Medicago truncatula: one gene and its partners. The protein of the gene in region 1 interacts with the protein of each later gene in a biochemical or structural test. Links are inferred from orthologs where the notes say so. Each region holds a gene or a part of one and is shown on either strand. Other genes may lie near its edges. The genes, in order: ethylene receptor, serine/threonine-protein kinase CTR1 and ethylene-insensitive protein 2.

What was found.
Region 2: the proteins of ethylene receptor (region 1) and serine/threonine-protein kinase CTR1 form a complex in vitro, tested with the Arabidopsis thaliana proteins (2 studies listed by BioGRID). The link is inferred for Medicago truncatula from reciprocal best matches to the Arabidopsis thaliana genes ETR1 and CTR1.
Region 3: the proteins of ethylene receptor (region 1) and ethylene-insensitive protein 2 form a complex in vitro, tested with the Arabidopsis thaliana proteins (2 studies listed by BioGRID). The link is inferred for Medicago truncatula from reciprocal best matches to the Arabidopsis thaliana genes ETR1 and EIN2.

Annotation. Positions count from the first base shown.
Region 1 is NC_053045.1:11,198,239-11,206,507, reverse strand, and holds the start of ethylene receptor, read right to left. Parts: upstream 3,465-8,269; 5' UTR 3,311-3,464; intron 2,461-3,310; 5' UTR 2,418-2,460; coding exon 1,509-2,417; intron 1,397-1,508; coding exon 1,028-1,396; intron 913-1,027; coding exon 646-912; intron 544-645; coding exon 416-543; intron 261-415; coding exon 63-260; intron 1-62. UniProt on the Arabidopsis thaliana protein: Ethylene receptor related to bacterial two-component regulators. Acts as a redundant negative regulator of ethylene signaling.
Region 2 is NC_053042.1:30,651,525-30,659,789, forward strand, and holds the start of serine/threonine-protein kinase CTR1, read right to left. Parts: upstream 3,756-8,265; 5' UTR 3,536-3,755; coding exon 2,975-3,535; intron 1,824-2,974; coding exon 1,522-1,823; intron 1,436-1,521; coding exon 1,291-1,435; intron 1,158-1,290; coding exon 1,054-1,157; intron 844-1,053; coding exon 635-843; intron 1-634. UniProt on the Arabidopsis thaliana protein: Acts as a negative regulator in the ethylene response pathway. Phosphorylates the cytosolic C-terminal domain of EIN2, preventing the signaling in the absence of ethylene.
Region 3 is NC_053048.1:47,791,029-47,799,908, forward strand, and holds the start of ethylene-insensitive protein 2, read right to left. Parts: upstream 3,857-8,880; 5' UTR 3,627-3,856; intron 3,149-3,626; 5' UTR 2,678-3,148; coding exon 2,387-2,677; intron 1,722-2,386; coding exon 1,635-1,721; intron 1,518-1,634; coding exon 1,407-1,517; intron 1,334-1,406; coding exon 1,124-1,333; intron 1-1,123. UniProt on the Arabidopsis thaliana protein: Central factor in signaling pathways regulated by ethylene (ET) and involved in various processes including development, plant defense, senescence, nucleotide sugar flux, and tropisms.

The DNA of each region.
Region 1 (8,269 bases):
AACTAATAGGTGACATAGTATCAAATTTCTAAAATGAAGGTACTGAAAATATTGTTACTGACCCATTATCATCCATGACGAGAACTTTGAGACCAGAAATGTTTGTAGATCCATGATTTACTGAAGCTTTAGGTTTGTAAGGTAGTTTAAATTCATTTGGTCGGTCCGCGATTCCAAGTTTTACAATAAAAGTGACTGTACATCCTTTACCAATACCTTCACTTTCAATCCAAATATGCCCTTCCATGAGATTCACAAACCTGCTCACAATTTAAAGATACCGTACGCAATCAATAGAAAATCATAAATACCAATATTGAAGAGAGCAAATTCTAATTTTGTAAATATACTATAGCCCAAGGAATAGAAAACAAATTAATATGTTCATATCAGTAACTATAGAAGAATATAATACCTTTTACAAATTGCAAGGCCAAGCCCACTTCCAACAGGATTTTTTGTTCCTAATGTTTGGTTTTGTGCAAACTTAGTGAATAACTTTGGGATGTCTTGTGGATTGATTCCTGATCCTGAATCTTTTACCTATAATGTGGAAAAAAATATATATTCCACCTTCGAAATCAGATAAAAGAGGATACAATATACCAAAACAGAAGAAAATTAATCAAGCTTGACGAAACAAACCTGTACTCGCAAATAAAAGTGGCTATCACTTGGTACTGGTAGGAAATCAGGAAATCTAATATCTCGGAAGGATTCAGGCTTTACAACAACCACGGTGATGGAAATGCTGCCTTCTTTTGTGAACTTAACAGCATTACCAACAACATTGAGAAGAATTTGCATGAGACGCTTTTCATCACCAATTGCATGCACCGGCAAATCTGATGCGAAATGTAAAGTGAGTGACAGCTTTTTAACAGATGCAACAGGTTTAATCAAGTTAAGGACCTGCAATCAGAGTAACAAATCTAACAACATCAAGCTTTTGAAGAAACTCAAAGATCATAAGCTACTAGTCAGACTAATATAGTTGAATTTTTCGGGATTTATGCGAAAATTTTACCTCTCTAAACAATGAATGAAGGTTAAATGTTGATATTTCAAGTTGAAAACTGCCATCTTCAAGCCGTGAAAGATCCAAAACATCGTTGACGAGTGTAGCTAATAAATTGCTGCTTTTCAGTATTGTTTCCACCATTAGACGTTGCTCAGCAGTCAGATCTGTTTCCTGCATCAATGAAGAGAGTGCAATAATTGCATGCATCGGAGTTCTCATCTCGTGATTCATAACAGCCAAAAAGTCATTGCGAGCATGAATCGCAGTTTCTGCTTCTCTTCTTGCCATATCAAGTGCAACATTCTGCTCCATAAGTTGATCCCTTGCCCTCATCGACTCTTCTAAGATTGCAGCATGAGAAAGAGCAACAGCTACCTGGTGTAAAAACAGGTCCATGTAAAAGAATTTCCGTCAAATAAAAGTGAAGCAAACAACATGTAAAGAAATACGGGACAAAGGAAACTGAATAAAATGGCGAATTACTAACCTGATCAGCAACTACCTCGACGAGCTCTAACTCATGTACATGCCACTGTCTAGCACTATCAGATGGAAGCATCAAAACCATCAAAGCATAGCTTCTAGTTGAAACCTCAGGCCAATCATATATTTGAAAATTAGAAAGATTTAGGAGAGGAACCCGAATAGCAACTACTGCTCCAGGCATGTATTTTGCAGCATGAGGTCGTAATCTAGCAACTGGGCAATTCGATGAAATTTTAACTGCACGGTTGCTACTAAATACATGGTTGATCACAGGAAGATTAATAGGTACTGTATATCCAACAGGGTTCTGCTGTCGCAATGTGTAAGAAAGTTGAAGCTCCAAACCGGTACGTGTCGGCATCCATAACGCACATTCCTCTAACCCAAGAGTTCTACCAAGTTCAACAAGAGTCGTTTTCAGTATTGTATGTCTATCAAGAGTGCTTCTAATCTCATGAGTCAACATCCTAACATGTCGACCAGTTTCTTCCTGTGTACGAATCAAGCCCATTTCTCTATCGAGCTCTGCAGCCTTGTTCTTCAAAAATAATTCTCTAGTTTTAACACTTAATAGATCGGGAATAATATGTACAAGCATAAGGGCAGTGGCACACGATACCACAGCGGTTAAAACCTTGGCGGTGGTCATTACAATTGCTACGGTTCTTGTATGAATTGTGAAGGTCCATAAATTTATTAGATGTGTTGCTCCACATAGAACTATGAAGGCACCAAACTGAACAAGGACCCATCTATATGGAAATACTGCAGATTTCTTAACAAAGTAGATAAGCTCGAGTGGGATCGAGAAATAAGCAAGGGCAATGAAGAAATCTGATATGTATTGGTATTTCATCAATAAATCATCTGCTGGCCATTGTGGCTCAATACAATTGCAGGATTCCATCATGATTGAATTGAACCACTCAGCCAATTCGGCCGTAATCACATAACTACATTAAAGACGTAAAATTTAAGCATCAGTCACAGGAAATGGATCTTAAAAAACAATAATAATAGCCCCCGGTAATCCGGAGTTTGACCAAGATGTAAGTAACGTCTGATCAAGAATTGTTCCACCTAGAGTTGGAACTCGTATAATCCCGATCAATTTGACCTTTACTAAAGCTCATTAACCACTTGGCTAATGCAATTATCAATACGAATTCCCTCGAAACAATCATGACCATAGAACTAAAAAACCAGTAAAGACAATCTCATCTCATCTCAAATGAACATAGAAAGCAAAGTCAAAGAAACAAACAATCTTCAAAATATGGTCTTCCTCTGCACCCAATTACCACAAAGAACTACCATAAAAATAAAAGCTTACCTTTTTATTAATTAATTCTCATAAAACCAAAACAGTGTCTATTATTAACAACAAACAGATTATCAAAATCTCAAAATCCAGCAGCATTATCCCATTGCTAACTAAACCCCCCCAAAATCATAACACCCTTAATTTCATACAGCTATCAAAAACATTTGAGCTGCCCAACCTTAGAAAATAATTAAGATTAAAAATTAAACACTTTCATGAACCAAATTAGTATATGTAATTTAGCTTCCTAATACTCTAGCCTTTACTAATTATAATTACATGCTTCATAAAAATTAAAACAAATTTGCAAAAAAAATAGATGAATCAAATATAATTATGGGTATAAATTAATTAATAAAATAATATAAAAAAATTAACAAATTAAGGAGGAGGTGGAATAGTGAAATAAATTTAGAAATAAAATAGAAAAAAAGATTAAAAAAAAATAAAAAAAAGGTAAGAGTGATCTTGAAACTTACATGGAAATGAAATGAATATAATCTGCAAGAGAATAATGGAAGAAAACTGAAGGAAGAGACAGGAAAAGAAACGAATAGTGTTGCAGGAACAAGTTGTATAAAATAATAAAAGTATTGAATTAAATTATATAGTTTTATACTAATAAATAAATAGTAAAGTAATGCATGTGGTAGTCAAGTTCAATGCATTTGGGTGGGTCGAAAAGGGACGTTACCGCATATGACGGAGACACAAAACTAAACATATCTATCTAGGTATGTACTGTACTTTCTGATAATGTTACATAAAGTCTCAAATAGTCAAATTAGCTTGGAATAGCCGGATTGTAACATATCAAAACCGACAAAAACTGTATTAAAATGATGGGTTGAATCGTTCTTATTAGTCAACCTGAATGAGTGGTCCCTACCTCCACTGATGAGTATATAATCTAACTATTCCATTGGGACACGTTGAAAACATTAAGAATGTATCATCAACAAGGAGGCAGAAGACTCTCTCAACCCTAACCTTTCTCTAATGGCTTATTTAACAGGATCTTAATGGTCAACCACCAACTAATTAAATCAGGTACACATCTATTCTATTAATACTAAATGCTATAATTTGTGTCTAATGATCTATGGCTTAGTATTAGAATTATCAATCTGAACCGTCTGATATGATATCAACGGTTGGGATTTATTACAGCACCAAACTGTGTGTTTTTCTATATCAGCAAATCCTGGTCTAGAATAAATGCTACTCCAAGATTTTTGTTATTTTTTGTTTTAATAAATGGAAGATAGTAAATTGAGCATAATCGAACAAACTCTGTGTGGTCCAATTTTTAATTTTTTGTTTTGAAAAAATTAAATTAATCCATCCAAATTGGTATAGAGGATAATCGAATTTGACCTTGACGAGGAGCATGCTTCAAGGTCCTAAGCCAACACAACCGGATCAACCTAAATGGATTTCAATTTTATTCTTATATTTGATCGTCGCCCTTTTCTACTTTTTTTGGTTATTAATTTAAAAGTGACATGAGATATGACTCGAACATGTTTTTATAATTTTATTTTTAGAAGCAAACTACTCCCTCCGTCCTAAAATATAAGCAAAAAAATCTCATATTTTTTGTCTCAAAATATAAGAAAAAAGACTAATTTTTATGCTATTATTATGTTTTTTCAAACAAATCATCTTTTCCAATGTAAAATTAAATGCAAATTGCATTCAATTGGTTCTCCTTTTTATTTTTTCCATAATTTTTAACCAATGAGAATTATTTTTACATCTTTCCATGAAACTTATTCCAAGGAGAACACAAAAAATTATACCTCAAATCACTAAATGTTAGTTTTCTTAATAAGTGTGAATTACTGTTTTTTGCTTATAAATTAGGACGGAGGGAGTATGTTATATGGGAGAATGAGGGATTCTCTTACCCGTAAACAATGTACTATCAATAACACGACAAAGAAAAAACACATTTAGGCAACATTGTTTTTTAAGTAGGGACAATGATCATCTTATAAGTTGAATTTATTAGAGTTGAGTGTTAGATGTATAAATGTGTTCGAGCGCTCTGATCATTTAAATTACATTTTAGAATGAGATTCAAACTCATTAATATGATATTAAAGTCAAATTAAGAATTGCAAATGTCAAAATTGTATGTATGGCTCACATTAGATGTGAGAGTCGATGCTATATTGCACAAATTTTCAGGTTTTTTTTGAAAGTGAGTTAATTTTTTACTGTTTTTAAAAACATTATTGGTAAATTTTTAGATGCTTTGAAAATTGGTTGGATACCTGTACGTGTAGGTAAATTTTATTTAACATTTGAATTTAGTTTAAATTAACTAATATAAAGAGAAGTTCATATTCAACCAAACTTCAGGAGTATGATTGTGTTCACCAACATTGATTAATCCAAAATAATATAGGTTCAATTAAATTTTTAGTCCTTGTAATTATTCACAGTTTTGTTTTTAGTCCCTACAAAATAAAATCACATTGTTTAGACCCTGTGACATTTTTCTTAAGCATTTTAGGGACCAAAATTGCTGATAGAAATTTTTTACATGGACTAAAAGTGCTGATGGAAAAATTTATAGGGACTAAAAATGATGATGGAAAATTTTATAAGGACTTAAAAGTGTGATTTTATTTTGTAGGGACTAAAAACAAAACTGTGAATGTTTATAGGAACTAAAAACTTAATGATCCCAATAATATATTTGTACTGAAATTCGTCCAAAAATTTATATTTGACCATAATCAAACAACTTTACCCTAATTTTCAATGTTAGAAGTTGAATAAAATCACCAATTACAACTTACATGACATCGATAGTTGAACTTATCATTCACATCTTGCACTTTGTGTGTCTCCCATAATTTAATTTTTTATTATATATAAAAAAAAGAAGTTGAATTAGATCTAAATAGTAAAAAAATGAAAATTTCTTAAAAAGTTTAAAAATTATATTTTTCAGAGAAATTTCTTATATTTAAATGTTTAACTACTATAAGAAAATATACTAGCGAATTGTAACCAAAAAAAAAAAAATGCTAGCGAAACCTGTATTAGAGTGCAAGATACATCTAAAATAAAAAACAGCTGTCATTGCTTCTTCTTGTGTCACTCAAATGTTATTTCAGGTTTACATCACTTTTAGTAAGGGAAGGGTGTGGCCTATGTGCCAAAGTATGTCCTACAGATGGAAGCAGTGGCATATCTATATTTGCCACATCTGCATTTAACTGCCGCGGAAATTAACTGACGGTTGTTAATTAGCGGTGATTAATTTTCGCTGATTTTTTCTTCTTCTTCTAGCACCTTAACCCACGTGTGGATCCGGTGCAACTCAACAGTTGGAGGGGTGTCCCCCCCCCTTGAACTCGTCACTTAAGTGTGAATCATTTAACCAATCCCTGAATAACTATATGTTACTTTAATCCAACATATGAATAGAGGGATTCAAAGAATCCTAACCGCTGCTAACATTCTGCAATCAAAATCAGGTTACTACTTCACTAGTGCTAGTTAGAACGACAATCCCTGTTGATACGACACTCACTTATCACTTTATTACTTGGTAAGGATTTGATACGGTTGCTGAAATTTTTCAAGAAATTTTTGGCACCGCCGCTGGTAGTGTTTATATTTTCAATGAGGCAATTTGTTGTACTTATTTATATTTGTTTTTATTTTAGTTATTTTATTTTTGTCCTTTCATTACAAAAATATTTACCGTGATTCAGCCATACTAAAAACTTTGTTTAGTTTGTTTCATACCGTTCAAGTATTATGCTACTAGATCCCGACATAAAAAAAACTGAAAATAGAACTTATGAAAGTTCCTCAAATTGCTAGAGAAAGGACCAATCACACTGAAATCATTCCAATTCAAGAATATTTATCTAACGAGTCAGAAATGAGAGACGAGAATCCACCTATCACTTTACGAGACTATGGGAGGCTGGAAAACTTGGATGAAGTATCTCTTGGGTTCTAACCTGCAAACCCAGTAATGTTCAGACATGATACAATTCTTCACAACTAGGTTGAAACCCAACAACATCCATGTTGTTGGACGCATCACCCGGAGGAACAATGAAGATCAAAACTGTGGAAGAAATCAAGGTACTCATTGAAAACATGGTCCAAAATGATTATTAACCCTAACTGATGATATAATAAACCGAATAAGTATGCAACAAGCTAATCAAACATTTCAATAAAATATGCTTGCGATCAACAAACTGTTGGGAATCAAGCTGGAAACCATCTCCAAACAGTTGGAAGTAGCATAATTAACAACTAACGGGATAGGATGCATTTTTGTGAAAAGCCATACCCCTCGGGAAGCTGTCTGCCTACTAAATTAAGTTTGATTCTCCTCAATGTCAATTTAGATGGACTAATTTAACTTCTTTAAAAAAATATATATATAGAGAATATACCTTGATGTTTTTGTTTTTTTGTTTGTTTGTCTTTTTTTGTTTTAAAAAGAATGTCAAATGCATCTAAAGGTCCTTTAAATTTTTCGTTTTTGTCAAAGTGGTCCTTTAAGTTTCAAAAGTCCCAAACAAATCCTTTTAATTTTTGGATCGTTTCAAACAAGTCGTATTGTAGATAGCATAGTTGGTAATTGCTTCCTTGAACTCATATTTGGTACCAAATCTGGCTCCTAACACCCACTTAAAACTAGTCATCTTTTTAGGCATGGTAAATGGCAGATAATGCTCTTTGTTGCTATCATCTGAATCATCACCATCATCCTTTAAAAGGACTTGTTTAAAACGATTCAAAAACTAAAAGGACTTGTTTGAGACTTTTGAAACTTAAAAACTTGTTTGGGATTTTTGAAACTTAAAGGACCACTTTAAAAATAACGAAAAAAACTTAAAGGATCTTTAGATGCATTGGACCTAGAAAGCGTTGAACCATAACTTATACTCCCTCCGTCCTTATATATAAGACCCTTTTGCCAAAATCACGGGAATTAAGATAGTGAATATTTGTATTAAAGTTGTTTGTAATCACTATTGTTTTTACAATTTTATCCTTTAAGAAAGAAGGTTAGTTTATGTTTTCAACATGTTATTTATTGTTGATTGAAGAAAAAAATGTATAATAAATAGGGGCATGTATGTAAAGAAATAATTAATGTAGTTGGAAATAACAAAGGAGTCTTATAAAAAGGGACAAAAAAATTCTCAAAAGGATGTTATAATTAGGGACGGAGGGAGTAGATAGGATAGCGTGATATATTCATACACAAGCGATAAGTTTTTTTTAAGGGGTCATCCCAATAAAATATTCGTCCATTCAGTCAATGGTAATTTCAGTATGTACACTGCTCATAGACAAATATGCTATGGTCAAGTAGAATTCAATTCCAAAAGAAAATCTTATTGGTCAAAATTATTCGTCCTTACACATGGCCTATAGATCATTTTAAC
Region 2 (8,265 bases), on another chromosome or scaffold:
TGATCAAGTGCAAAATTACAATTACTTGACTTGCAAAACGAACATTTATAAGAAGGGCCTGATTTTATGAACTCGCAAATTTATCAAACATTAGATCAACAGCTCAAAAGCGCATACTCAACAACCAAGCATTATCCCACTAAGTAACAATGCAATAAGATTCTATTATAAATCATATTCTAGCCAAACAATTGACCTGTAAGTTTTTCTTAATAGCTCCAATATATATATATATATATATATATATATAGACACACACACATAAACTCAAATTTAAATATGCAAAGAGACTAAGAGCTGATTTGTATAAATTTCTCCGTAAGAACTTATGGAAAATGGAATTAGCTTCTGCTTTAAATATTTTTCAGAAATTGTCTCATTTAACTTCTTCGTAAACACTTATAAACTTATAGGGATTTTTCTATAAGTGAAGCCACAATCTTATTTGAAAGTAACTTGCTTATGGAAGAAGTTTTTATCACTCGTTAAAAAGTTGGGGGAGAAAAAAAGGAACTGGGAGGCCTGGATCTCAAATTCTTGATAAATGCAACAATATGCTCCAAGTAGATCCTTCTAGAGACCAGAAGCCAAGATTTAGAATAGCACAAATTTAACCAAAATATCTGAATATTACCTGCTGAACTGTTGTCGAAGAAAAGCTCAAGAGACAGACAGTCTGAGAAATACTGTTTGGCTAGTGACCTGAAATCAATTGTAGTTTCAGCTGGCTTAAGTCTTGGAAAGCGCAAGGGTGAACAAAATGAGATGGAAGATGGACCATTGAGCAAGGAATCAGGCTCGGATAAGTGTCCTGGCTTCCCAATTAAATCAACAAGATATTCCCTGACATTAGATTATGTAAGAGGTGAGGTGACAGGAATATTACTCTAATGAAAATCTATTTAAAATGTCAATGTCGATATACATTATGTTAACCATTGATCTCCAGTCCTTTTAAAATTTTCCATTCCATGATCGTTATATATAGCTAATGAAATTGCAGATAAACTTATAAACAGAAAGGTATGTATGCTTGGAAAATAAAGCGTATACCTGTCAAGCCCAAATCGAACAAGACAAGAAGAAGCGTCATCTCTTTTACAATATTTACAGCCCTTTGCAATTCGACATGGTAAATCAATAGCATCAGCTAGCACCTAAAATAATAAATATATAACAAGTTATTCAGAATTGCTTAAATACAATCCACCTCCGGTGAACAAAAACTCGTCAACATAGTCAGCATGTGTAATCACAACCTTAAACCCCGACAGAGAAGTGGAGCCTTACTTTGAATAATATGGCGCGATGCCTGCAGAGACCAACAGATAGACTACCTATGGGAAAAACAACAGATCCTAAGCAATCTTTCAGATTATTGCTGCAATCCCTCCAAAAAGATAGAAACTCATCCTCCCCAGCAGAAGCTGAACCCCTTGTTATAGCAATAAAACACAGTTAGACTGACATGACCGGATAAAAAGCTAAATAGGTCGGGCCATGAATGCCAAGAAGGCTCACCCCATACAGTTGCAAACCAGCTTGGAAAGCTGATCCACAACCTCTGTTGTTGTTATGCTGCTACAAGAGATGTTATGAACCATGTTTTGCAGTTCTCTCAAGCTGGCATCACTGCGCCGATCCACCAAAACTACATCAAGGGAAGAATCAATGCGGGGATGTACAGACTTTAGAGTATCAACTGATGGGATTCGGCTGTTTTCCTGCAGATCAGTGCACACAGTCCATACATAGGAATCCATCCCATGAATCAGATAAAAGCCATCAGGAATTTTGTCGGAGTATGATAGGCAGCCATTCACCTGGTGTACATTATAAATAAGATACAAAATCAACTTTCACATATCTAACAATAAGAGCATCAAGTCTATCAAGATGAAACAAGTTACAGTTTCCACCCTCAAATTTCAGTGGTCGGGTAAAACAAAGAGAGGAGGTCTAGTTTTTCACTCAATAAATGATGATTATACGCAACGCACGTTCTACTCAAAGCAACATTGTTAAAATATTAATTAGCATTTTCAAGATGTGTCGGTTTGACTCCACAAACATCATATTTTCCAATGTTGATTTTTTATGCAGTGTAAAAATAAGATACACATTTATTTAGAGATAAAAAAAAAAAAAAAAAGTCAATTCAAGAATGAGAAATATGATCATAGCATTTAAGTCAGACAGTAATAGAATACTGAAAACCATTCTTTCCAGAACTCCCAGCAAAGTGCCAATCAAATGTGAAAACTGAGACTGCATGAGATAGTTTCCTCAATCAATGTGATAGCTAGTGACAAATGGTTTTCCCAATGAACTAGCACCAAAAAAATATTGAAAAATAGAACCCTAATATCCAGAAAACTCCTATTAGACTTCAACACTGTAATTCAAAATTCAACTCTATACCATATAACAAACAAAACACAACTTCTTAAGAAGATTTTATACTAAACCAAATCCCATCCATTCAAGTCAACTGCATCCTAAATGAACTACAGAAACTTTGTCCTCCAAATTTGTCGCCGTCAACCGAAAATTCGGTCATCCCGTTGACACATAACAGAGAAGCCGACAAACCTATATAAATTCAGCCCTATATAAATTCAGCATATACGACGCTACACAGCATTGCCTTAATTTGGCTTATATACACAAGTAACCACAGTACACCCATAGTCAAAATATATCCATAGTCATTCACACACCTTGTCCTTATTTTCATTAGTTATCACAATTCACAATCCTCTATAGCACTGACAACTCTGATGAAAGGCATGTCCGGTGTCCGACACCACCATGACACTGATGCGTGTAATTACATTCAATTAATTCATTTTCTCAGATTATTACCGTGTCTGTGTGTGTCAATGCTTCGTAGTCACATTCACAGTCAAAGCCATTACCAGAATCAAAAATCACAATTCAAAGCAACACAATCAAGGTACAACAAACAACATACCCAAAATCGATGCGAAACAGCCTCAGCCGATGCCGAAAGCCTCGAAGCCGCGTCATCTGGCACCGGATCCAGAAAATTCGGATCATCAGCACAAGTAGCATCCGACGATAACCTCAAAGCCAGCGCAAGCTGCAACTGATAACTCTCCTCCGTCTGCTGCGCCCAGCTCTTACCAGACGATCCCCCGTTCCACGCCGCACTTTCCGCCAACTTCCCCCTCACCTCACCAACCTCATGCAAATAACCAAACGCATCAACCTCACTAGCCGCCACCGCCGACAGATTCTGCGCATAATAATCACCGCCGCTGGCTAACGAACTTTCGCCGTAACTACTTCCACTCGACTGCCGCTGTAATCCGATCGATGAATACAAATTCAAATTCCCGATCCGATTGTTCCCTTGCCGATGATCGCCGACTAACTCCCAACCGCCTCTACTAGCTTTTCCGTCGCTCGACGACGACGGTGCCGGAGCACTAGCGCTGGCGGCGTAGGAGAATTGATCGTCGGGAACTTGACTTAGAATCGAGTAATTAGATCTTCTAGCAGGCATTTCCATTGAAATCAATCACCGTTTTGGTTTAGTTATAAAACCCTAAAAATCTTCATTGTTGTTCTTCGTTGAAGTTTCTGTTACGTTATTCTTCGTTTTCCTTTTTCTCTTTCTAGAATCTGGTAACTGTTAAGTGTGAATGGTGGAATGAATGAAATTTCTCTCTCTGAGTTCCGGGGAGAGAGAAATCAAAGTGACGAAGTTTTTTCTTTGTTTAATTCGGTGGCGCTATCGTAAATTAAATTATTTTCAAAAGTTTTGGTATTTCTTTTCCAAAAATGTTTCATACATATCACTCAATTTTGTCTACAATTTCGAGTTTTTTTTATTGTGTATTTTTCTCAACAATTTTGAGTTTTTTTAATTGTGGAACTTCGAGTTCATATTAATCATAAGGCTAAAGTATGGATTTTCCTGCAAATATGTTTCGTTTTGGTTTTAATCTCTATAAATTTTTTTTGTTGTTTTTGGTCCTGCAAATATGTCTCGTTTTGGTTTTGATCTCTGACTCCACTTTTGTGATGATTTACGCACGTGACACATGATGATTGAACCCATATTTAGAAAAATAGTCCCCGCAAAATATTTTGATTTTTAAAAAGGTCCTTGCAAAATATTTTGTTTTTGAAAATAGTCACAACAAAAAAAATTTACAGAGACTAAAACAAAAACGAAGCATATTTGCAGGACCAAAACCATATTTTAGCCTAATCATAATCGAAGTTGTGATTTGGTTAAATATATATCTTTTTTAAGTAGTTTGTTTGTTAAGAATTAATCTCTTGAGATAAATAAGTGGAATATATGAAATTTGAACCTCCCCTTTGCATATATTATGAAAAATCAAAGTCACTTAGATAAACTCACGAGAATGGTATATGTTTAATTTCGATCATGATAGAATTCGTAAAATTTTAGTTAATTATGTAATTGAACTAACCACAATTCTAATTATAAATTAATTTACTTAACAAAGTTAATCATATTTTTCAACATGATTAATCGGTATCTTTTTTTTATCAAGTAGTCAAAATGGTTGAAATTTCACTCTCGAGAATGAAGAATTCAAAGTGTGAATATTGATCGTGTGTATTGTGATTTCCTTGTCAATTGATTTACAATAACATAAATAAATTGATCTTTACATCTTTCGGTCACTATTATAAAACCATTTTTTAAATTCATTAAATAAATAATATATTTGATCTAAATATTTACTAAAATGTGTTTCAAAAAAGTAGGAGAAGATTTTTATTTATAGTAATAATCGGAATATATGTCTGTGTAAAAAAATGATGTTCGATTGTAATTTATTATTGGGTCTTGTTAATGAGTGTCTCTGAAATACTCTTTAAACATACTAAATAAAGTAATTATTCTTTTAAAATTAAAAAGTTTTTAATTTCCAATACACTCATTACACAAACTTTTATAAAAGTTACTATCTAAAGTTCAAGGGCATTGGTTAGTTAACATTTCCCTTTATTATTTTCGGTGGGCAAAGCGGTATTTGGTTCACACGTTGGCCGGTTCAATTCACCTGGTGGTATTTTTTTAATAATATAAAAATATGACTTTTTGTTTTTGGATGATAATAGTAGAAAAAAATAATTACAAATTTTTTAATATGCAAGTTGGATTGAATTGATTAAGAATAGAAATGAATGATTTAAAAATAAGAATCTAATTACAAGTTGGATTTTTCTAATTTGTACTTGACCAGCCTTACTTTAATGTATGTTGTCATAACAACTTTGCAGTGAGTTCAGATTACACACGCCTTTAAACAGATATGGATATAGTTGTGGGCGAAGTTGAATTTAGCATATTTTTATTTCAGCTTTCGCATGTGACCCTTCTTGTACGGGTAAAAATAGAACATGAACTTTAGTTTGGTTTGGTGGCTGCTAGTGATGGTGATATACGGCCAGGTTCATAGCGGTTTGGATTTCGTGATGAAATTCCTTCGATGAAGAAAAAAAAAATGTTAATTTATGTTGTTATGACATATGTTAAAAATTATATTGATAAAAATTATGTATTGAAAATTGTGTTAATTTATTGTTCGAAAGGTTTAATATTAATTTTTCCAAGAAATTCTTACCATTATTGGAGTGTTTAACATGTGTCTTAAGGACACAAGTTAACATAACCTAAACAATATAGATGTTTTGGTTATTGTGTGTGGATAATTTGGAATGAACGAAATAATAGAATATTTAAGAATATCCAAACTAATATTATAGGTCTTCTGGAAAAGGTTAAGCAGGATTTCTTTTTGTGGCTTAAAGCTAACAATGTCACGTTTGTTTATGGCACGATTAGATGGTGGTCAGACCCGTTACTTTGTTTGGGTATCGACTAACCTGTTTATTGTAATTATACTGTGATTGTTTGCCCTTTGGGGTTGCTTCTTTAGTACACCTTGTGCTAAATAAGAATCATCGCCGTTGTTAATATATTCCATTTTTTATTCTTAAGAAAAAGAAGAAAAAAAAACAGAACCCAAAAAAGCATCCATAAAGAAGACACTCATTTTTTGGTACTTAAATGGATCTCATGTGTAGATATCACTCATTTATAAAAAAAAAAATTAAGGGTCTTGCTAACCATTGTCCTAAGGGCAATGGTTAAAAATCTCATTAATAGAAACTTTCTCTTGAAAATACAAATCTTTACTTTTTTCTTATCAATCATTACATCACTTTTCGATGCAAACTTACTTATTTAAGTACTTTAACCAATGTCACAATGACAATGGTTAACATTCTCCTTTTTTTAATAGTAATGCCTAATAAGTAGTCAATCTTTTCAACCCATATCTTGTTGGAACAAAATGTGTTTAACATTACCCTTTGAGAGTTTTGATGATAACAAGGTATTAAAAATTGTCAATTGGATATGCTAATATTTGTTCAAGTGTGCAGGACCATATGCAAGGTTAAATATTTTTGTAGGTTCTGGAAGAACAAATTAAGAGCTATGGAATCAACATAAGGGAAGCTTGAAGCGTATGAAGAAAAGTGCTCCTGAAGTCAAGTGCTCATGAAGTGATGACATCATCAGAAGCAAGTTCATCAGAAACTGAAGATCACCAGAAGCTAAAGTTCATCAGAAGATGGGAGACTTAAAGCTTCAAAGGCTGTTATATGGATTCAATCTCGTTTGAGCATTGCAGAAGACCAGGAGAGTGAAGCAACAATTAATTCAAATGAAGTTGAAGGCATTGGATTCTTGCTTTTTGAAGAGTGATGACAAAGTACAATTGTACGAAGTGTACAACCACTACCTCCACTACTTAGTATGTGTCTCTGCTACAAGACAAGAATAACAGCTATGCCTGCAACAATGTTCCTTCATACTTGGAATGGATTTGAAATTGATCATTCATAGGACAATAACCATATCCGGCAAAAGATCATTGGTGATTGATCAAAGCTTCAAACGACTATATTTTGATGTGCTGGAAATTCACAACGTCTTTTTCACACCTCTATATAAAGGAGTGAAGACTTAGAGAATGGCAAGGACTAAACAACAATTTACAAGTGCCAAAACTCTGCTGAAATTGTTCTCCATCAAAAGTTCACTCAGAATTTCTTATCAAAGTTCATATCTTAGAAATTATAGAGTCTTAAGAGTCTGTATCTGATTTGTACTGTGAACACCATTGATTGTATATCAAGTGTTCAACCTCAAACAATTTTCTTTGTAATTCTGTTTGAATAGAAGTCTCTTGCAGTTGTGCTTGAGCATAAGAAGTCTCTTGATTGTGCTAAGGAGCATAGAAAATCTCTTGTAAGTTGTGCTTAAGTAGTTTGAAGTCTCTTGCTAGTTTTAGCAGTGAGCAGTTGTGATCAGATATTACATTTTAGTGAACTCTCCTTGGAAGTGCAAGGGGGACAGGACTGACTTCCGGTTTGTGGAAGGAACCTGTATAATTGCTTTGTATCTTTCTTCTCTTTCTCTCTGTTTTATCCGCTGCAATCTAGTTCTGAACATCACTTCAGAAGTAGAACATTGTTCAGAGTCTAATGCAGCGAATAATGTATAGATAGAGAGAAATAAGATAAAGACACAAGCAATTATACAAGTTCCTTCCACAATCTGGAAGTAGTTCTGTCCCTCTTGCACTTCCAAAGAGAGTTCACGAAAATCAATATTTGATTACAAATGCTCAAACACACAAGCAAGAGACTTCAAATACTCAAGCGCACATGCAAGAGATTTTCTATGCTCAAGCACAAAAGCAAGAGACTTATAAACAAACAAAATTACATATAAAGATGTTTGGTTTGAACACTTGATATACAATCAGTGGTGTTCACAATACAAATCAGATAAGACTCTTATTAAGACTCTAGAATTTATAAGATATAAAAGTTTATAGAAATTCTAAGTTTTGATGCACAAAAATTTCAGCAGAGTTTTGATACTATCAAAACATTGTAGAGTCTTCACTTCTTTATATATAGAGGTGTGAAAGAGACGTTGAGAGGATGTTAGCACATAAAAGAGTCGTTACCGAAGCTTGATCAAATCACCAATGATTTGTTGCTTGATTTGGTTAATGTCATAGGAAGGAATAATTTGAAATTCATTCCTTGTTTGGAGAATTAACCAGTGTAGGCACAACTGTAGCAATACTATGTGCAGACATGATAGTGGAATAGTGGAGTAATGGTTGTACAAATGTAGTATTATCCTTTTTCTGCGCTCTTCAGTGGATAAGCATA
Region 3 (8,880 bases), on another chromosome or scaffold:
ACCATAAGTTTGAGAATTTGTAAAACACCTTTTTTCCCATTTAAAATGTACCATTACAATGTTCTAAGGTCATTTCCTATCTTCCTCATGTAAGACACTAATGATGAACATCCTGGTAGTAAGAGAATTGATAGGCATGAATCTAAAAATCCTATTAAATATTTATTGAAGACCCGTCATAACTATTGGATAACAACAGGTACTAGTTCAAACAAATACTAGCCTACAATTGAAAGATACATCTCCACTAACAAAAATATCTAAAATAATACTAATTTTATCTTCTGCATGGAATTCCATTTTAGAATTGTTCATGGTTCATGCCTGTCATCGAGCCAATTTCCAGTCATCCATTAATACCAACAACACACAATTACTAAAACCATACTTGAGAGAAGTAAAAGGGTACCATAATTTACTTGTATCGTATGGCTTTCTAAAAAAAAAAAGAATTTTAAGCATCTTTTATTTTGGTCTTGACCATTCAATTATGCAAGTGCACAAATAATATTCAAATGTTATTAGACAAAACGAGGATCTGGTGATATAATTATAGCGAGACAAAATCAAAAGAACCACTCACTATACAAGATTTTTGAAACAAGTACATAAAACCAAGTTAGAATAATAAGTGATTACAAAGTTTAGCTTTCTGGAAAAAAGAAAAAACTAATGACCAGTAGTAGTCAATCCTTATCGATTTGATCAAAATACAACAACAACCAAGCCTTATCCCACTAAGTGGAGTCGGCTACATAGATCAAATGACGCCATAGTGTTCTATCAAAAACCATATTTGGATCCAACTCATTGACCTCTAAATCTTTTCTAATGGTTTCTCGAATGGTTTTCTTAGGTCTTCCTCTACCTCTTTTAACCTGACTCTAATGATTTGATCAAAATATTCATTAAAAAAAAAAAAAACTCCAGCAGTAAGGCAATCGCCCATGCAAATCTGGTAATTTATACAACAGTCAGACGTTTCATCTTTACAAACAAGCAGAAGATGAGGTGCAAATAAACCCACACACAAATAAAAGATATTTTCTTGGAAGCTTGCCATAGACACGGACATTTCAGTACATTTTCATGAACGAAAATTGAGAATGAGAGGAAAGAATACCTGTACAATAGAAGAATGAAGGTAAAAGTTGTGAGGCACAAGAGTTGCTCCGAGAAGACTCATCAGCATAAATGTACTCTCCCCGCTTAAATTTATTAGTATTCCATTCATGGAAACTGGAACTTCGGATTGGATGAATACTCCAAGTATAAAAGAAAGTAATACAAAGCCTGCCACAAACTGTCCTAGGAATTTTGTCTTCTCAATGTCCTACGCAAAGGCAATATAATAAGTCTAGTGTTGATCAACAAGGTATGGTGAATAAGTGAAGAGTGATACTTACCAAGAGGATAGCAAGAAGAATATGAAAAACAGCACCAGTGGCAGTTAAAAAGACACAGGTGAACAAGTCCCACCCAAAAATAAGATTTAATCCTTGTGCCATGCCCAAGATCTTGCAAAACAGTTTAAACCACAGTTTCAAGTCAAAACAAATTTGAAAAATAGCAGATGACCATGTGTAAATCAAATTCACAGGATATTTAACGTTAATCAAGAGCAAGAGAATTACCATGTTAAGATCTAGCATAATCACGGACAGTTCTGCTTGAATTCCAAGGAGAAGGCATGTCCATGTATCATATTCATCACTGCAAATCTTTAGTTAAAAAATGAGAAATTAGTATATAAACAAAGCATACAAACCAAGTGCATTTATCAAATTCTATCTGAGCTTGCTCATGTAAACATCATATTTTCTACATGAGATTGAAGAAGAAATAGAGAAAAGACAAAAACCCGCAATAGGCTCAATAACAATTAAATAAGCAAATTGAAGAGAAAACCACTCAATCTGGCTCACAATTCACAACCGCCACAATTGAACTAGTGTTAGCGGGGTAAGAAAAAAAAACACTGGGAGCATGAGAAAGAAACATGGGGAGGAACAGGATATACTTTTAAGATGGAAAAAGAAAAGAAAAAAATATCAAAGTAACAATGCAATTTCCAGTTTCATATAAACTTCCAAATTTAGTCTGTCAAAACTCAATTAGATTAACAAAATGCACAGACAGAAGATCAATATGAACAACAAATAATTTTTAAGGTTCATTTCTTCCTGATACGTGACGACTTCTTCTCAATAGCAAGTTGCTACATTAAATAGTATAATATAACTCGAAAAATTGATGAAAATAAAACAGATAGGTTTTATTCGGGGACAGGGGTTAAAGCAGTTCAGAGTTCAAGAGCTTTTCAAACATAACAATCTTACTACATGATCGGTGTAATTTATCAACCCTAAAGTGAATGACATGATACCTGAGCAAGATCTCGTCCAGTGATTACACCAACCCTTGCGGATAAGTACTGACAGAAGATAGCGGCAAAATTGAAAATTAGCGCAAAAGCCACCAGATCAAAACCAAACCTCGCACCACCTTCTATACTTGCCACCCACTTTCCAGGGTCAACATATCCTATCGAAATCAAAAGCGCGGGTATAACAGCCGGAAGTGCGCGAATAAGAAAACCAGGAGGGGGATTAGTACTCAATGTCTCTGCCTCCATTTTACTCTTCGTCTGTTCAGAACTCAATGCCTCTGTTTCCATTTTCCACGATGATACAGCCCCAATTACAACTCCCAGAAAAATACAACAAACACTTCGAAGTAGCTAAAACTTTCAATGACCAATAAATAATTATACAACTATCTCAACTATATTTCTATCGAAAGACTATATATTACAAGCCAATCTTTGAAAAATAAGCTGCTCCAATTGAAACTATAATTAAGTCAACTTATAAAACTCGAAAGGATTTGCAAACAATTTCACACAAAGCATATCCCTATACCAGCATCCTATCACCAGCCAATAACAAAATCAACTGTTAACTATGATTATACGATACAAATCTGATATTTTCAATCAAGTCAACCTATGTCCCATCACACAAAATTCACAACACCCCAATTAACAGTTTCAATCAAAATTGATATCAACCCTTTTCACAGAGCTATGATGATCCTCAATTATAGTCCAAGTAACGATCTTTTGGAAAAACCAATCAATTTTGAAATCCTGCAATCAATCAAATTGATGAATATGACAACATCAGTATCAAAACAGATTAATACTATCAGCATTAAAGAATCAATAGTTATAATTATCCCAATTAGATTACAACAATTAATGCTATGAATTTATGAAATCAAAAAAAAAATAACTTATACTTTTTGAGTTTAACCGAAGCAAGTGTAAGCAAAAAGAAAACAACAAATCTTAATAATGAAATAAAAAATAAACCGACTTTATAAAAAATAAAAAAACATGAGAATCAGAGCCAAAGAAAATATCTTACAGTAGATAAAAAAAAAGTGTTGAAAATTGAAAAATTAAGACAAGTGGCGAAAGATAATTGAGTAAACAAAAGTAAAACCCTTAACCCTACACAGTGAAACAATAACAATAACAAGCAATGAAAAATGAAAGCGTGGATCTGATGCAGGTGGTGAAGAACATTTGCACAAATTCCAAGGTTGATTATGAATTTGATTACCGTAGAATTAGGGTTCTGTGATTTCTTCTGCTACTATAATCTCTTGTTTCTGCGAAGTAGATCTTAGAACAATAAAACTTTGATGGAACTATGGGGTATGATAATGATTTTTAAGAGTTTTTGATAATTGATTGATGATACTATAGTTTAATATTATTTTATGTGTTGTACTATCAAAAAAGAGAGAGAGAGAGAGAGAGAGAGAGAGAGAGCATAAGGATGAAGGGAGTTATATAAATAATGAAAATATTCTGTATGGGTTGGGGTTTTAAGAAGAAGAGAGAGAAAGTGAAAGTGTAATATGTACATGTGTGTGTTCATGTTCAAGTGCTAAAAGGAGGGTAGAAAGCTTGAATAAAGACAGATATCCTTTTTCTTTATACTATTTTCTATCGCATTTTATTTGATTGGTTAAAATTTACATCGAAGTCTTCTCAATACGTCAAATTTATATTACATATATATATAATTTGATGATATTGATGTGAATTATAATCGATGAAAGAAATCCACTTTAAACTTTCATTTTTGGCCAAGTCATTGGTGTCTTTGTCTTGGGGTAAACATGCATTTTGGTGCTTATACTCAGTGCAATGACTTTTTTCTTTTAACGACCAAAATTGAACTCATTTATTAAATAAAGTTGGTTATAAGAAGGACCATAAGCATAACGACTATTATGGAAAATGGTTGCCTTAACAAGAATAAGGACAACCATATTTATTTGTTGTTGGGTAGACTTAAACTCAAAGTTATCAGAAGAATTTAAGAGATTTCTAATCTTAATAATAATAACATTTAACTCAGATATGTTTACGAGATTATACTTTGATATATTTGAAGCTTAAAATGGCATTGCCTCATACATTTAAGTATCAAAATAATTGTTTATTCTTTTTTCTGTGTAATTTGTTTAGTTTAATAGAGATACACATAGACAGTTTATATATTTTGAATGCTAGTGCTTATATTTCTCATTTAATATAAAACCAACTTGTCCCGACAATGTGTATATTTTTCAAGTTTTTTATTTTAATTTAAAGTCGTTTTATCAAACCGTTTTTAAAATGTTATCTTTTAAAATAAGTATGATTCATTGGCTTTATCTAATGTGCACCCCTAAATTAGTTTTACACCGTACACAACTTTATTTTTCAGCATTTAATCAATAAATCATATCATATTTGATTTAACAAAGAGATTTGTTGATTCAAGAGAATATAAGCTTTTGCATAGTGCAAAATTTATCTCAAATGTGAACCATAAATTTGGTCTGATTTATTTTAGATTGTAAAAATAAATTTTACAATCCGATAAATTATGTTTTCTCAATTTTCATATCTCAACTCTGAAATGACTTTTCTCCTTTCTTTTTCAAATTCAAATCTTACTACCCTTTTATATTTCATTGCTATATATTTCCACATTATTTCTTCAAGGTTTTTTTTCCATTTGAGAGAATCTTAATCCTAGTTTTCTCTGTGTTTTAAAAAGCTATCTTTTAAAATAAGTATGATTTATTTTAGATATTATTAATTTAGGGAAAGAAAAGATATCATGTTGGCAGCCCTTACCAAGTTTTTTTTTATAAGAACCTTGCTGGAGTATTTACCAAGTTGTACTATCAAGCAAATCTATGAATGTCTGCAAGTAATAAATAGCAATGAAGTTGTGATTATGAAATGTCTGATAATAATAAATAGCAATGTAGTTGTGATTTTATTTATTACCTATAATTCTTCCTAATTACGATATCATGTACTAGTATTTGGTAGAGTACTTTTCTGGTTTGCAAAGAAGGATGGAGCAAATGGGTCAACACAACGGATAGGGTGTTTCTTAATAGCTGGTTGGTACTGCTCGCATGGAGACCAAAGAAGCAAGATTGCTGTACTTTTTTATAAGGTGAGATAAGTTTTTAAATTCTATAAATATATCGTATTTTGTTTTTAGTTCCTCTAATTGTTTTCTTCAAACAATAATACTTTAAATATTTCGGTCATTATTTTTAAGTCAATTTATGTATATGCTTTTATATGTTAAATTATTTTTTATAATCATGTTTAGAACATTATAAAAAAGAGAATTTTTAAGTGCCGTGAAGTTTGGTTGCTTACTAGTACCTCATAGAAAAACTTATTCAAAAAAAATTTGTTTTTATGCTTCCTGGTTTTGTTGGATTTCTATTAGGTATCATGAATTTCTATTCATTCTTATGCTTCCTGGTTTTGTTGGATTCTTCATGTTCATGTTGTTGGTGGTCAGGACTGACAAATGATGTTTCAATCAAGACAAAAAAATTGAGGAAAAAGAGGATTAAGAGATGAATTACAATATGAGTGAGCTAAGATTTTTTTTTCTTTTCTTTCTGATTTGATTTGGTTTTGGTGATATAAGAAATTGTTGTGATGAGGGGTAGTTTCTTCATTTCGCTTCGCTCTGATAGTAGGAGGGGTATTTTTGTCACTTTAGGCCATACTTTGATGAGTCATGGAGCCACGTTAGATGTTTACTGATTAAGTTGGAAGAGAGATGGAATTTTAAATGATTAAATTTTGACAGTGTAAAATGCAGGATTAACGAATTCAATGATCAATTTTTAAATAACCTCTATTTATAAGGACTAAACACATATAAAAACCATATTAAATGTGCCACGACAAAAACTTGTTTCAGTTTACAAAATTTCAAAAAATTAAACATACAAACCTTGAAATATTTAAAAACTAAAAGTATTGTTTTGAATGAAAAAAAGTATAACAAAGTAGATTAAAAACTTGATTTAATCACAACTTTCTCTACCTAATCTCAACTTTATTAACTTGTTACAAGAGTCTAAGAACATGATTCTATCATCACTTTAAATTTAACTCGGGAGTAGGTTGTATATGCTCACACTTTCCGTATATATTGAGAAATGATATTTGAATAACTATTTTTTATAATTTTTTTGATAATTTTCTCCCTCATACTCACATTATCTTTTTACTTTCTCTCTCTATTATTTTGATTTTTGTGTTACTACCTCATTTTCTTTATAAAATTTTGATTGTCACATATAAGGATGTTTAAATAACACAGCTCATATATATTCTACACTCAACATTAATTTCTGTTTCATCTAGTAAACATGATATGATGATTATTTATACAACTTTTTTTAAAAAAAAGTTGTATGGTAAGTCCCATCAATTAATTACTGGACATCATTGCAAGATGTGGTTTTCTATGAATGGAAAAAGTGAAAACTAGTCATACATGATGCTTGAAGGAAAAATTTCAATTCAAGGACCAATAATCAAAAACATTGCAAGTGGTCGTGTAGTTAGCTAGGAATGGGAATACATAGGCTTACTTTTTACCATATTTGAAAGCTTAGCAAATAATTAACTTTTTTTGTGTGCATGTAATATTGGGAATTTGTGATATTGATTAATGAGAAGAATTTGGTAGAAATCAACTATATGGGAATCAAGAAAGAATAAAGTGGTGATATGTTCTATGGTTTACAATGTACTACTGGTGGCATTTAGGATGGACAGGGAGAATACTTTCCCATTATGAGATAGTACCATTTTTAATCATTGATATATTATTATTTTAACTGAATGGTTCAGATTCAATCAGACTTTTTCCTTACAACCTATTAGCAACTTTTTGTAACAGACCTGTAACAAAAATGATGACCCCACAAGTAATATTTTTTATTATAATGCTGCTATATGGGCTTCTAGTTTTCTTGCTAAGAATGGGTTATGAAAGTAAATTTTTCGTTAATTACAAGGCTACTTAAAATAAAATGATTAAGCTCTTTGAGCGATTTCTTTTACAGCTATAATTTTGTTTTTAAGTTGTGTTACTTCCTTCATGAAAGAAAGAGTTGCGTGTATTTTATTTTACCAATTATTTTTTGGTAAAGTTTTACCAATGTTATTTATTCTGCCATTGATATATTTTGAACTGACAGTCTATATTATTTGTTTAAAAAAAATCCTTTATTGTATTTGTATTTATTTTTTAAAATGAATTTGAAAATGAACCCAGAAGATAAATATAACAATGAGCACAACAAGGTAGCATTGAACCCAGGATGAACTCATGTTATAAATCCAAAATTGAAGAAGAAAAAAAACGACAATTTTGTTTTTGAAAAAGGCCAAACTACATCTTTCCATCAAACCAAGAACACCTAAATTGCAAGAAGATTATGTTCAAACTACCAAAGCAAAACAACCATTAAACTTTTGAGTGCCACCACAAGGACTTTAACGACATCATCCTCCTCTTATAATCAAGCACAATACAACTGAAGATTGGAGCAAGCACTCTCTTGGTGGTATCTTCAAAATAAAAACACGTGAATTACACATCTACCATAAAACGGAATCAACATTTATAAGTAACCCATAGAAGAAGATGCCATTTATGTGTTGGTGAGAGAAGAGAAAGGCCAAAAAGGTTGTAAGAGAGGAAGGAATTTATGGATCTATCAGAAGAAAAATGGCGAGGAGATAATAGAACTTAGGAAATAAGATAACAACACATTTTGATACTGGTTTGTGTTAGATGATACCAGGATCTAGAAGATGATTGTGTGAGACATTAATGTGAAAGAAAAGTGGCAGATCTATATTCCAGAGAAATGGGTATTTCGGAACAAAAAAAAAAAAAGAAAAAAAGATAAAGGACATAAGGGTCAAATACACGCTCAAATAAACAGGGGTGTAGAACAAAAACATTTGGCAGCTGGGAGGTGTAAAACTAGCTCATTAAAATAAGTTAAATAATTTATCATTATTTTTTATTCTAACCTGTTAAACAAAGTGAAACAGCCACCTGTCAAAAAAATGTGAGTTTCCCATGGTAAAAAAGTATTGCTTTGATCCATCCTAAATGCCACCTGTACTACTACCTTATTTCATGAAAGAATCGAAAGTGATATTCTTTTACTTTTACTTTCTTGTTGTTTTGAACGGAAAAAAAACAAAAAAAAATTATAATCCAAGTAATTTAATTTATTTACAAAATAAAAGTATTGTTAACTAAAACTAAAAGTTGCTTAAAAAATAATTAAAACTAACGGTAAAGATTTAAATTACAGCAATGATATCATATTAGTCCCTATAAACTTAGTTCAATAGATAAGAAAAATGCATAATATATATAAAATCTGAGGTTTGAAACCCGAATGCTAAAAAATAAAATTGTTTTTCAAACACATGTTAAATACATTAATTCTCTCTATGTCATTTTA